Arabidopsis thaliana: one gene and its partner. The protein of the gene in region 2 interacts with the protein of the main gene of each other region in a pairwise test. Each region holds a gene or a part of one and is shown on either strand. Other genes may lie near its edges.

Region 1 (4,847 bases), on a different chromosome or scaffold from region 2:
GGACCTTAGATGTTTGAATATATATTTTAAATAATTATCCTAAATGATGTTTTAATATAAAGAGTAAACCAAAATATGTTGGTTTGTATTACTTAGATTAGCTTGTAATCTTTTTATTGAAATGAAATCTTCACATTAAAACCCCAAAAAAAACATGTTGATGTATTGTATACACTTGGTTTGTTTCTGAAATATTTCTATAGAGAAATGCAGTTAATGCGTAAAGCAAATGGGCGCATTATATATGTAATGCGTATGGACCATTTAAAGGAGAAAAAGCAAACCTTTGTTTCGTCGGAGAAAAAAAAAGGTTAGAAACGGCGCACACAAAAATGTATTGTGGTCCAAATAAATAAAATAATACAAGACCCATGTGACATCATGGAGACATATGTTTATAAATTAAAAATAGACCCCTCGCAAAGACACAAACCACAACAAACTCTAACCATTATATAATCATATAATCACAATAATGAGCAGTAGCTTTCTGCCTCGCATCAAAATCAACACCCCATTCATTTTTAATTAGAAAAATATAGTATTGAGCTAATCCAAGCATTATTCTATCACGTTATTTAGTCGATCAAAAATAATCCCCACAATTAATATATATTGAATGTGTTATACAATAAGTGTTTGATAATCAGACAATTAATTAACTTCTCACAAAAATTTATATATTTGTGTGAAACTTAAATTTAAAAATCCATCGCACTGAGCAAAATAAAATCAGAAACTAAAAATTTGTCATTTAAGATAAATTGAATTAAGGAAAATATTTTTTTAATAATTGAAACTCCGGTGGAAATCAGGAGGAGCGACATCTCCATGCTGAAACTCCGACGAGTTCTGTCCTTTGCCAACATAGGAGAAGTGAGTTATGTTTCTTCTCGACGTGAAAGCCTCTCACTGGCGTCCGTTGGACTAAACACTCGGCTTGAGACTCCGTGAAGTTACTGTGCGTCACCGGTGAGAAACCCATCTGTAGAAACATCGCTTGCCACGTCATCATCGGCCTTTCTATCGGACGGCTACGATCCAACACCAGCTTCTCTATCTCCGGCTGTATAAGAAACCTCTCGATCTTCTGCATTGCGTCGAGGTTGGCGTTGACGGCGTCGAGGGATTCGAAGAGAGCGGTGTGTGAGTGCAGCGAGTGGGCGAGCTGTTGAGAGAAGGGCAGATCCGTCCTCTCGCATCCTCTGTCGGAGCAGACGATGATCGTCGGAGATAGATGCTTCACGAAACGGAGGACCAAAGGGAGGTGCGAGAAGGACGCGGCGGAGATGTTAACGGCGACAGCTTCTTTCTCCGACGAGTTAGGCCACGAGATGGAGCCGAGGAGGTCTAAGCTCAAAACTTGGATGTCAAGGGAGATGTTGATCTCAGAGGCGAAGTGCTTGAGGTTGTCTTGAGTGAAGCCAAGTTCGAGCTGGTCGTGGTTCGCCGGAGAAGCGAAAACGGTGATCTTGAGGGAGAGAGGAGCGGCGTTGTCGCGGAGAACAAGCTCTTGCATGAGGGAAGCCCATTGGCCACCGTAGCCGATATCGAAGTCGATGATGTGGAGACGGTGGAAGCCATGGAAGGACTCTAAGAGGGCTTGGTTGGAGGTAAAGTTGGCGAACTGAAGAACGGGAGAGATCTCTGAGAAGGATTTGTAAGCAGCGATCTTGAAGATGAGGGAATAAGGGTTTAGGGTTTGGGAGACGTTGTGAAGGAGATTATTGAGAGCTTCTTTGAAGTAAAAAGCTGCTCTTTCTAATGGCTTCCCGACGGGAGAAGAGAGCTGTTGATTGAGCCGCGCCAATATCCCCTGAGCTAGACACGTGTCGCTCTCTATGACCTCTGCTGCCTTAACCAGCTGCTCTGTTATCCCCACGGGACCAGGGTTGAGCCGCTTTGCCGGCGGAGGTGTATGGTGGTGGTGGCCGTAGAAGATAGCCGCAGGATTCTGTGTGTAGTGGGTTTGACTTTGGTTGATCAGAAGACCGGAAACATGTGACGGCGGAACAGAGTGGTGGTCTAAACCGAAGCCGGTGTCGACGACTCCGAAACCGGGTGATGAGTAGTCAGAGTCGTGGAAGGTGGGAGATGTTTGGAGAATGCTGTTGAGTTCAAGAGAGGGATCTGTGGAATCTCCCATGATGAGTCCGAGAATGCTCTGTTCGTGGTCATGAGGAACTTGCTCCTCCCAATCACCCAACCCAATGGCTCCGCATTGCTCATCGGTGGTGGCGTCGCCGCCGCCTCCGACGGCGCTGTTTCCGCCGTGAGAGGAAGACACCGTGGAGGAAGAGGTTGGGCTTATGAGGGAGTCCAGAACAGAGGTAGGCTCCGCCGCGGGAACTTCTTCCTCTTCTTCTTCGCCGCCTCTTGCTTTGCGGTGGCTCAAAAGCGGAGACGACGGTGGTTGGGGGAAGGAAGACGAGAAAGAAGAGAAACAAGAAATCCCCTTCCCTTGAAACTCTTCAAAGGGTAAGGGCATTGCAGACGATAAAAAATAGTGTATTTGTCTTCTTGAAGCTCTTCTTCTTCTTCTTCTTCTTCGTTGTTGTGATGTGGTGTGGTGAGGTATATTGGATGCGTGCAAGATATTAAAGTGGCAAAGTGGGCTTCCTCCTTTCTTTTTCTCTCTTATTTCCGTTTCCTATCATTTTGCCTTTGTCATTAACTTAGCTGATTAAACAATTCATCAGCTTCTCTTACACAACATTTTGTTAATCTTTGCTTTCTAATCTTAACTATGTCTTCTATTACAACCCCACTCTTACATCACGCGCGTGGCTTGCAAACTCCTTTCAGTGACATGAACATGATGGTAAACAAAAATACTAAATGTTATGATATATTTTTAAATATTGTATTTGTCTTCTTGAATTACTAGAAACTATTAAAAAAAAAAAACATTTTCCCCATATTTTTGATGTTGTACTGTATATTTAGATGTCATAATACTTGCCCAAAAAAAAAAAAGGATGTCATAATATATTGGGAATGTTTTTGTTTTCTTATAATTTATTTTCATGATTAAAACTTTGTGGCTTGCAAACTATATTTGGGATATTGTTTTGTTTTGTTTTATCTCAAAGGTGCTGTCGTTATTTCCTTTTGTGTGATCTTTGTCCCCAATAGTTTGTTTTAGGGTTTGGACAAGCTTTTGGATCATCTTTATCAAATTAACCACTCAAATCACCCAATCCATTGTACGAGCTAAACCACATATTGCAGTGCTTATATTAATTTGTGTTTCCTTTTTTTTTTTTTTTTTGCTACGGACATAATCTAAATTTATAAATCTAAACAAAGTGGAAACAAAAACTATGTATATATTGGAGTTACATCAAAAATATCTGTTTTGTTTTTCTTGTTTTAACTTAACGAGATACGAATGATCGTCATTATCTGAAACATTCATGTACTACTTATAACAAAGAAGGAGTTATATATATATTTACGTGTATATAAAAACATACTTTCTTTGGTACATCTTTTCGTTTGAAGGAAAAAAGTGATTGAAGATCTGTGAATGATGTTTCTTCTGTGACAAGTTAAATGCACGAGAGATTGAGAAAGAACGAGTGGTAGTCCTTTATTGAGCAGACAATGGAAGTCACCAATCACCATATATATACATATATAAATATATCTACCAATGGAAAACCCTATAATAAATAAATGAATAAAGCAATCAGAAAAAACAACAAGAAAGAGAGGTGGGTAATTGATGAAGACAGATTAAAATCGGACCAATTTTGCAATGAATGGCGACAGTTTCATTATCATGTATTCATGATAATGAAAAAGCATTTACTTTTCTATGCAAACCAATTCATTAGTATAAACAATATCAAAGAAAAAAAAAAAAGTATAAACAATATCAGATTCTGAATCTATCTTTTATATGCGAATTATGACCGCACAAAAAAACACAGAGTTCAGTTTCTTGTATAGTAATTTTTAGTCCCATATTATAATACTTGTTAAGTACCATAAATATTTGATGATTATTGATAGTTAACTTACTTTATATAACAACAAAAAGTTAAAATGTTCATTTTTAAGATTTAATTAGTTTATATGTTCCCATGTGATTTGCTAACAACTACTTCTCACACTTTTCTTTCTTATACAAAATTATTATAAATCTTGAAATGATCGCGAAACTGTATTAATATTATTTCTTATTGACATACATAATACACCAACACATTTTCAAGTTTCATGATATATTAATATAATATTTGGTATATTGGAATACTAAATATATGTGTGTGTTAACTTCGTGAGGGTGAAGTAAGTTACGTGGTGAAAACATGTTCTTTTCTCTCGTCTCAAGGCACCCTTCATCACAAGCAACACACCCAACCCCACTCAATCGGATAGTTCGTATGATGAACAGAATCGTGCTTTGCCATAATTAGAGGAAGAAACAAGTCAGCTAAATATATTAATCTTGTCAAACAATAATTTATATTGAAGGATAACGTGTTAGAGTTTGTATGCATGTAACCATATATAAATGATTGCGTCGTTCATTTTGTATTAGATTTTAGGATGATGATTAGTTAGATTAGACAAAAATTGATCAATTATTATTAGGAGATCACATGGGACTGATAAGGATAAAGAAAAATAGAGAAGATTTCTTCATCTCATTAGAGCCAAAGTAATAATAATTATGATTAAAAAAAAAAAACCAAGATCGGCGGGAAGTAATTAACAATTACCACAATATAAAGTTGGTAAAGGAATTTCCTTATTTCTTTAATCATATACATTTCCTTAAACATAATCTAACTCTCATTTGATCATTGACAACACATTACTATGATTCGACAACAACA
Region 2 (4,166 bases):
GGGGCGTTTCGCAGCAGCGGATTACTTCCCGATTATTGGTAGAATCATCGATAGGATCACGGGGTTACATAGCAAATGTGAGAAGGTTTTTAAGGAAATGGATTCGTTTTTTGATCAATCTATAAAGCATCACCTAGAAGATACTAATATCAAAGACGATATCATTGGTTTGCTACTAAAGATGGAAAAGGGAGAGACAGGACTTGGAGAGTTTCAACTTACACGAAACCACACTAAAGGAATTCTTCTAGTAAGTAATGGGAACCTCTTACTTAGTTAATCCATATATAATTTTATTCTTTACGTGTTGCATAGTGATTAACTTTTGTGAATCCATATATTATTTTGCAGAACGTTCTTATCGCTGGAGTGGACACTTCTGGCCACACTGTGACATGGGTGATGACACATTTGATTAAAAACCCAAGAGTTATGAAGAAAGCGCAAGCCGAGGTAAGAGAAGTGATCAAAAACAAAGATGATATCACAGAAGAAGATATAGAACGACTCGAATATTTGAAAATGGTGATTAAAGAAACATTAAGGATCAACCCACTTGTGCCACTTCTGATTCCAAGAGAGGCTTCAAAATATATAAAGATTGGAGGTTACGACATTCCAAAGAAAACATGGATTTATGTCAACATATGGGCTGTTCAAAGGAATCCAAATGTTTGGAAAGATCCAGAAGTTTTCATCCCAGAGAGGTTTATGCATAGCGAGATTGACTATAAAGGTGTAGACTTTGAGTTGCTGCCGTTTGGTAGCGGAAGGAGAATGTGCCCTGGTATGGGATTAGGTATGGCATTGGTACACTTGACTCTTATCAATCTTCTTTACCGTTTCGACTGGAAGCTTCCGGAAGGAATGAACATAGAAGATGTTGATCTTGAAGAATCATATGGACTTGTTTGTCCCAAGAAAGTTCCACTTCAACTTATCCCAGTCCTTACCCAATGGACTTGACTTCACTTTCACTTTTTTTTTTCTTTTTGAACTTCACTTCACTTGATAATTTCATAGTTCAAAATATGTAATGTGAAAATCTTATACCATTACTATCAAGAAAATGTTTGTTCAATCCATATCTTGTAGCTTAAACATTACTACCGAATCAAATTGCGAAACAAAAAGGTATAATTTTACTAGGACTAGAGCTAAACACTCACAGTTGGTGATGGAGGAAGACATTGTCTTCTCCTTTCTCCTCTTCTGCTTCGGTTTAAAGAACCCGACGAAGAAAGCGAAGGACCAGGTGGAAACCTACTTGATCTACTCCGAAGTTTCTTCTTCTCTACTTCCGGAATCTTCTCTTCCTTTGATCTCACCTGCCTCACCTTAGTCTCATTCAACTCCGCCGGCAGAACACAGTTGCAAAACAAACCTAAACCCAAAAAAACAAACCTAAACCTAATGAGCTTTTACTAAAACAGAGTAAAAATCAAATGTTCTGTTCTCTAACTTCTTACCAAAGCGAGCAAGACGGTTAACCCAACTAGGGATCGATCTTCGAGTCAGTTGCACACAAACATCATTGCAAAAGTGATTGCAATTCTTAGTAATCAAATGATAACTGTTTCCACTATATTCTTCCGCAAGTTTCTCCATAAAGACACGAACGTTTTCAGGATCTAAATCAGTTCTTCCAATCAATATAGACTTCCTAAATGTGAAACCCGGACATTGCTTCGGTTCCACCTCGAATATCCCGGTAGTCGAATGATCGTGAGCTCCAAAACCATATTCAACTCCATGAACTAAAACCATAACATTGTATTAGGAAGCAAACATTAAGACAACAACTTAGATCTCAATATATAAACATACTTTCATTTTTGGACAGACATATCTAATAATAAGATATTATACAACTCACTTTAATAGTCACATAAAACCAAGTTCTGATTATTATTACTCAATAGAAAATCAGAAGAGTTGATCCAAAAATGGGTCAAAAAAAGTTTCCAGTTTTGGAATCTATTGAAAAATGAAACCAGTCTATTTCAATTTCTACAAACAAACAAAACAAAACCAACAAACATCAAACTTAAAAAGTCTCTTACTTTAACTAAACAATCTAAAACAGAATCAAATCTCTTCCTCTCAAAGATGAGAAATTTTCAATCTACAATTCAAAAGTTTTAAGCTTTAACCAAAACCCACAAATAATTTCCAAGAAAAAGAGAGAAGGAGTTACCTTCAACACCAGAGTGATAGATCCCAAGTCCTAACCAGTAAGCGTAGCCATTGATGGGTGTGAGATCGTATACATTCAGATAAACCGGAACCGAACCGGGTTTCTTTTTCCGGCCAGTCACCACCACCATTCTACACAACATCTTTTCTTTAAGAGAAGAAAGAGAGGAGCTTGGAATCTTATTCTTCTGTCAATCTGAGAGAGAAGCTTCTGATGATGTTTCCTTCTTTCTTAAAAGCTACATTCTTTTTTTTTTTTTCTGCTTTCTGTCATTCTTCTCTCATTTTGTTTAGGGTATAAATTGTTGTTTAGTCCTTATAATTTATTATTTTCACGTTTTGGCCCTATATTATTAATTGAAGCTTTTGACGTCAATCGACGCCAACGAGGACTTGTGAGTTCTGAAGTGTGTACTTTGTCTTTTTCTAGGAATCAATTTTGACACCTTAATAGTTTGTAGCAAAGTGCATAATTGAACATTCCAACAACAACAAAAATGAACATAATATTTTTAACAGCGAGAGAAATTTTAATTAATTATATACCGTGTTTTAAAATTAGTCGCCTAGATGATTAAAATTATATTGACGTTTTAATATTAGCCAAATCAATTTTAGCTTACATGTATATTACTCTAAGATATCCAGATAAACGGAATAGGTGCATAAGTAATAGTTTATTTTATTTTATTTTATTCTAATATAAAAAGTTAAAAATGTACAAATGATATACTAAGATAGAAATTTAACATGCTATTTTAAAAGTTATGATTAATCAATTATATATATAAAGCCTATGCTCTTTGATTAATTGGTTACAGACTAATTTTCATCAGAACGTTACCTAACAATTTTGTAAGTTTTAAAATTGATAATACAATGTCATATGTGTTAAGAATAGTGTTCTTATTTTTGTATTATTCTCTATATTTTCATCATAGTTATAATTCTTGTGAAGAAACATCTACAATAACTAGTATGGGAACAATTTGGATGTATAGTTATGTTAGATAAACCGGTTCAACGTGGATGTTGGTGGTAGACTTTGTAAAAATTGAAGAAGATTAAGGTAAAATAGGTAAATTAAATTAAATAAATAGAAATCGACAAAGCCACGAGCCATGTCTCAGGAGTTGTGTCTTTGTGTACGTTCTAAGCAAAACGATGACTAGCTGTTAGGGCGTGAAGTTGGCAACATAATTACGTTTTTTTTAATCTTTGACCAAACAAACAACAAAAAGAAATTACGCTGACTTACTTGAAATTTATAGACTGATTCTCTGTTTTATGTGATTAATGTATATATATAGTACTTAGTTCAAACTTCATTTACTAATAGCAAAACATAATTCACGGATTCACAATTATCAAATATATTTATAATTGTTAGGTACGAACTTATCTTTCTATATGAGCTTGAGCTTACGATCTTTGTTCAGTATTTTTTTATCAAAAGTTATAAAGAAAAGGCATATAATTTCATGTAAAATAATTGACAAAATATTATCATTAACGGACTTGGCATAGGGGTTAACACACAAGATATTATAATGGACTCTTCACAAATGACTTCTTTTTTTCCCCAATAATAGTAACTCTTCACAAATGTTTTAGCCGTCTTTTAAAGATAGTTTAATATATTAGTGGAATGAACATTAGACTCAGAAAGCCTATTAAATTAGTACTTGATCATTCTTCTAAACATTTGTATCTGTTTTCTTTTTTTCCCACTGAATTCTAAAGATAAGCTATACCATATATTAGAAAGCTAATATAACATTAAATAAGATATTAGCTTCTTTATTTAGTCGATAGATTAATTTTGAAATTTTGAAAAGCTGGATTTTAATAGGTCAAAAAAAAAAAAAAACTATGTCTATTTAATGACTTAGACAATTCATTAGCCATGGCCATTTGTGGAACGACTTTGGAGACCAACAAGTTGTGTACGTAATAATTATATTCAAATT

Evidence for each region. Proteins that work in one complex are often made in the same cells at the same time.
Region 1: the proteins of AT5G25170 (region 2) and HAM3 interact in a two-hybrid assay, tested with the Arabidopsis thaliana proteins (one large-scale study listed by BioGRID).

Annotation. Positions count from the first base shown.
Region 1 is NC_003075.7:56,618-61,464, forward strand, and holds HAM3 (GRAS family transcription factor), read right to left. Parts: upstream 2,879-4,847; 5' UTR 2,489-2,878; coding exon 812-2,488; 3' UTR 523-811; downstream 1-522. UniProt on the Arabidopsis thaliana protein: Probable transcription factor involved in plant development.
Region 2 is NC_003076.8:8,691,430-8,695,595, reverse strand, and holds AT5G25170 (PPPDE putative thiol peptidase family protein), read right to left. Parts: upstream 2,585-4,166; 5' UTR 2,340-2,584; coding exon 2,198-2,339; exon of another isoform or gene 1,768-2,197; coding exon of another isoform or gene 1,758-1,767; coding exon 1,470-1,757; intron 1,385-1,469; coding exon 1,158-1,384; 3' UTR 967-1,157; downstream 1-966. Other genes in the region: CYP71B14 (cytochrome P450, family 71, subfamily B, polypeptide 14), read left to right, coding at 1-250, 352-966.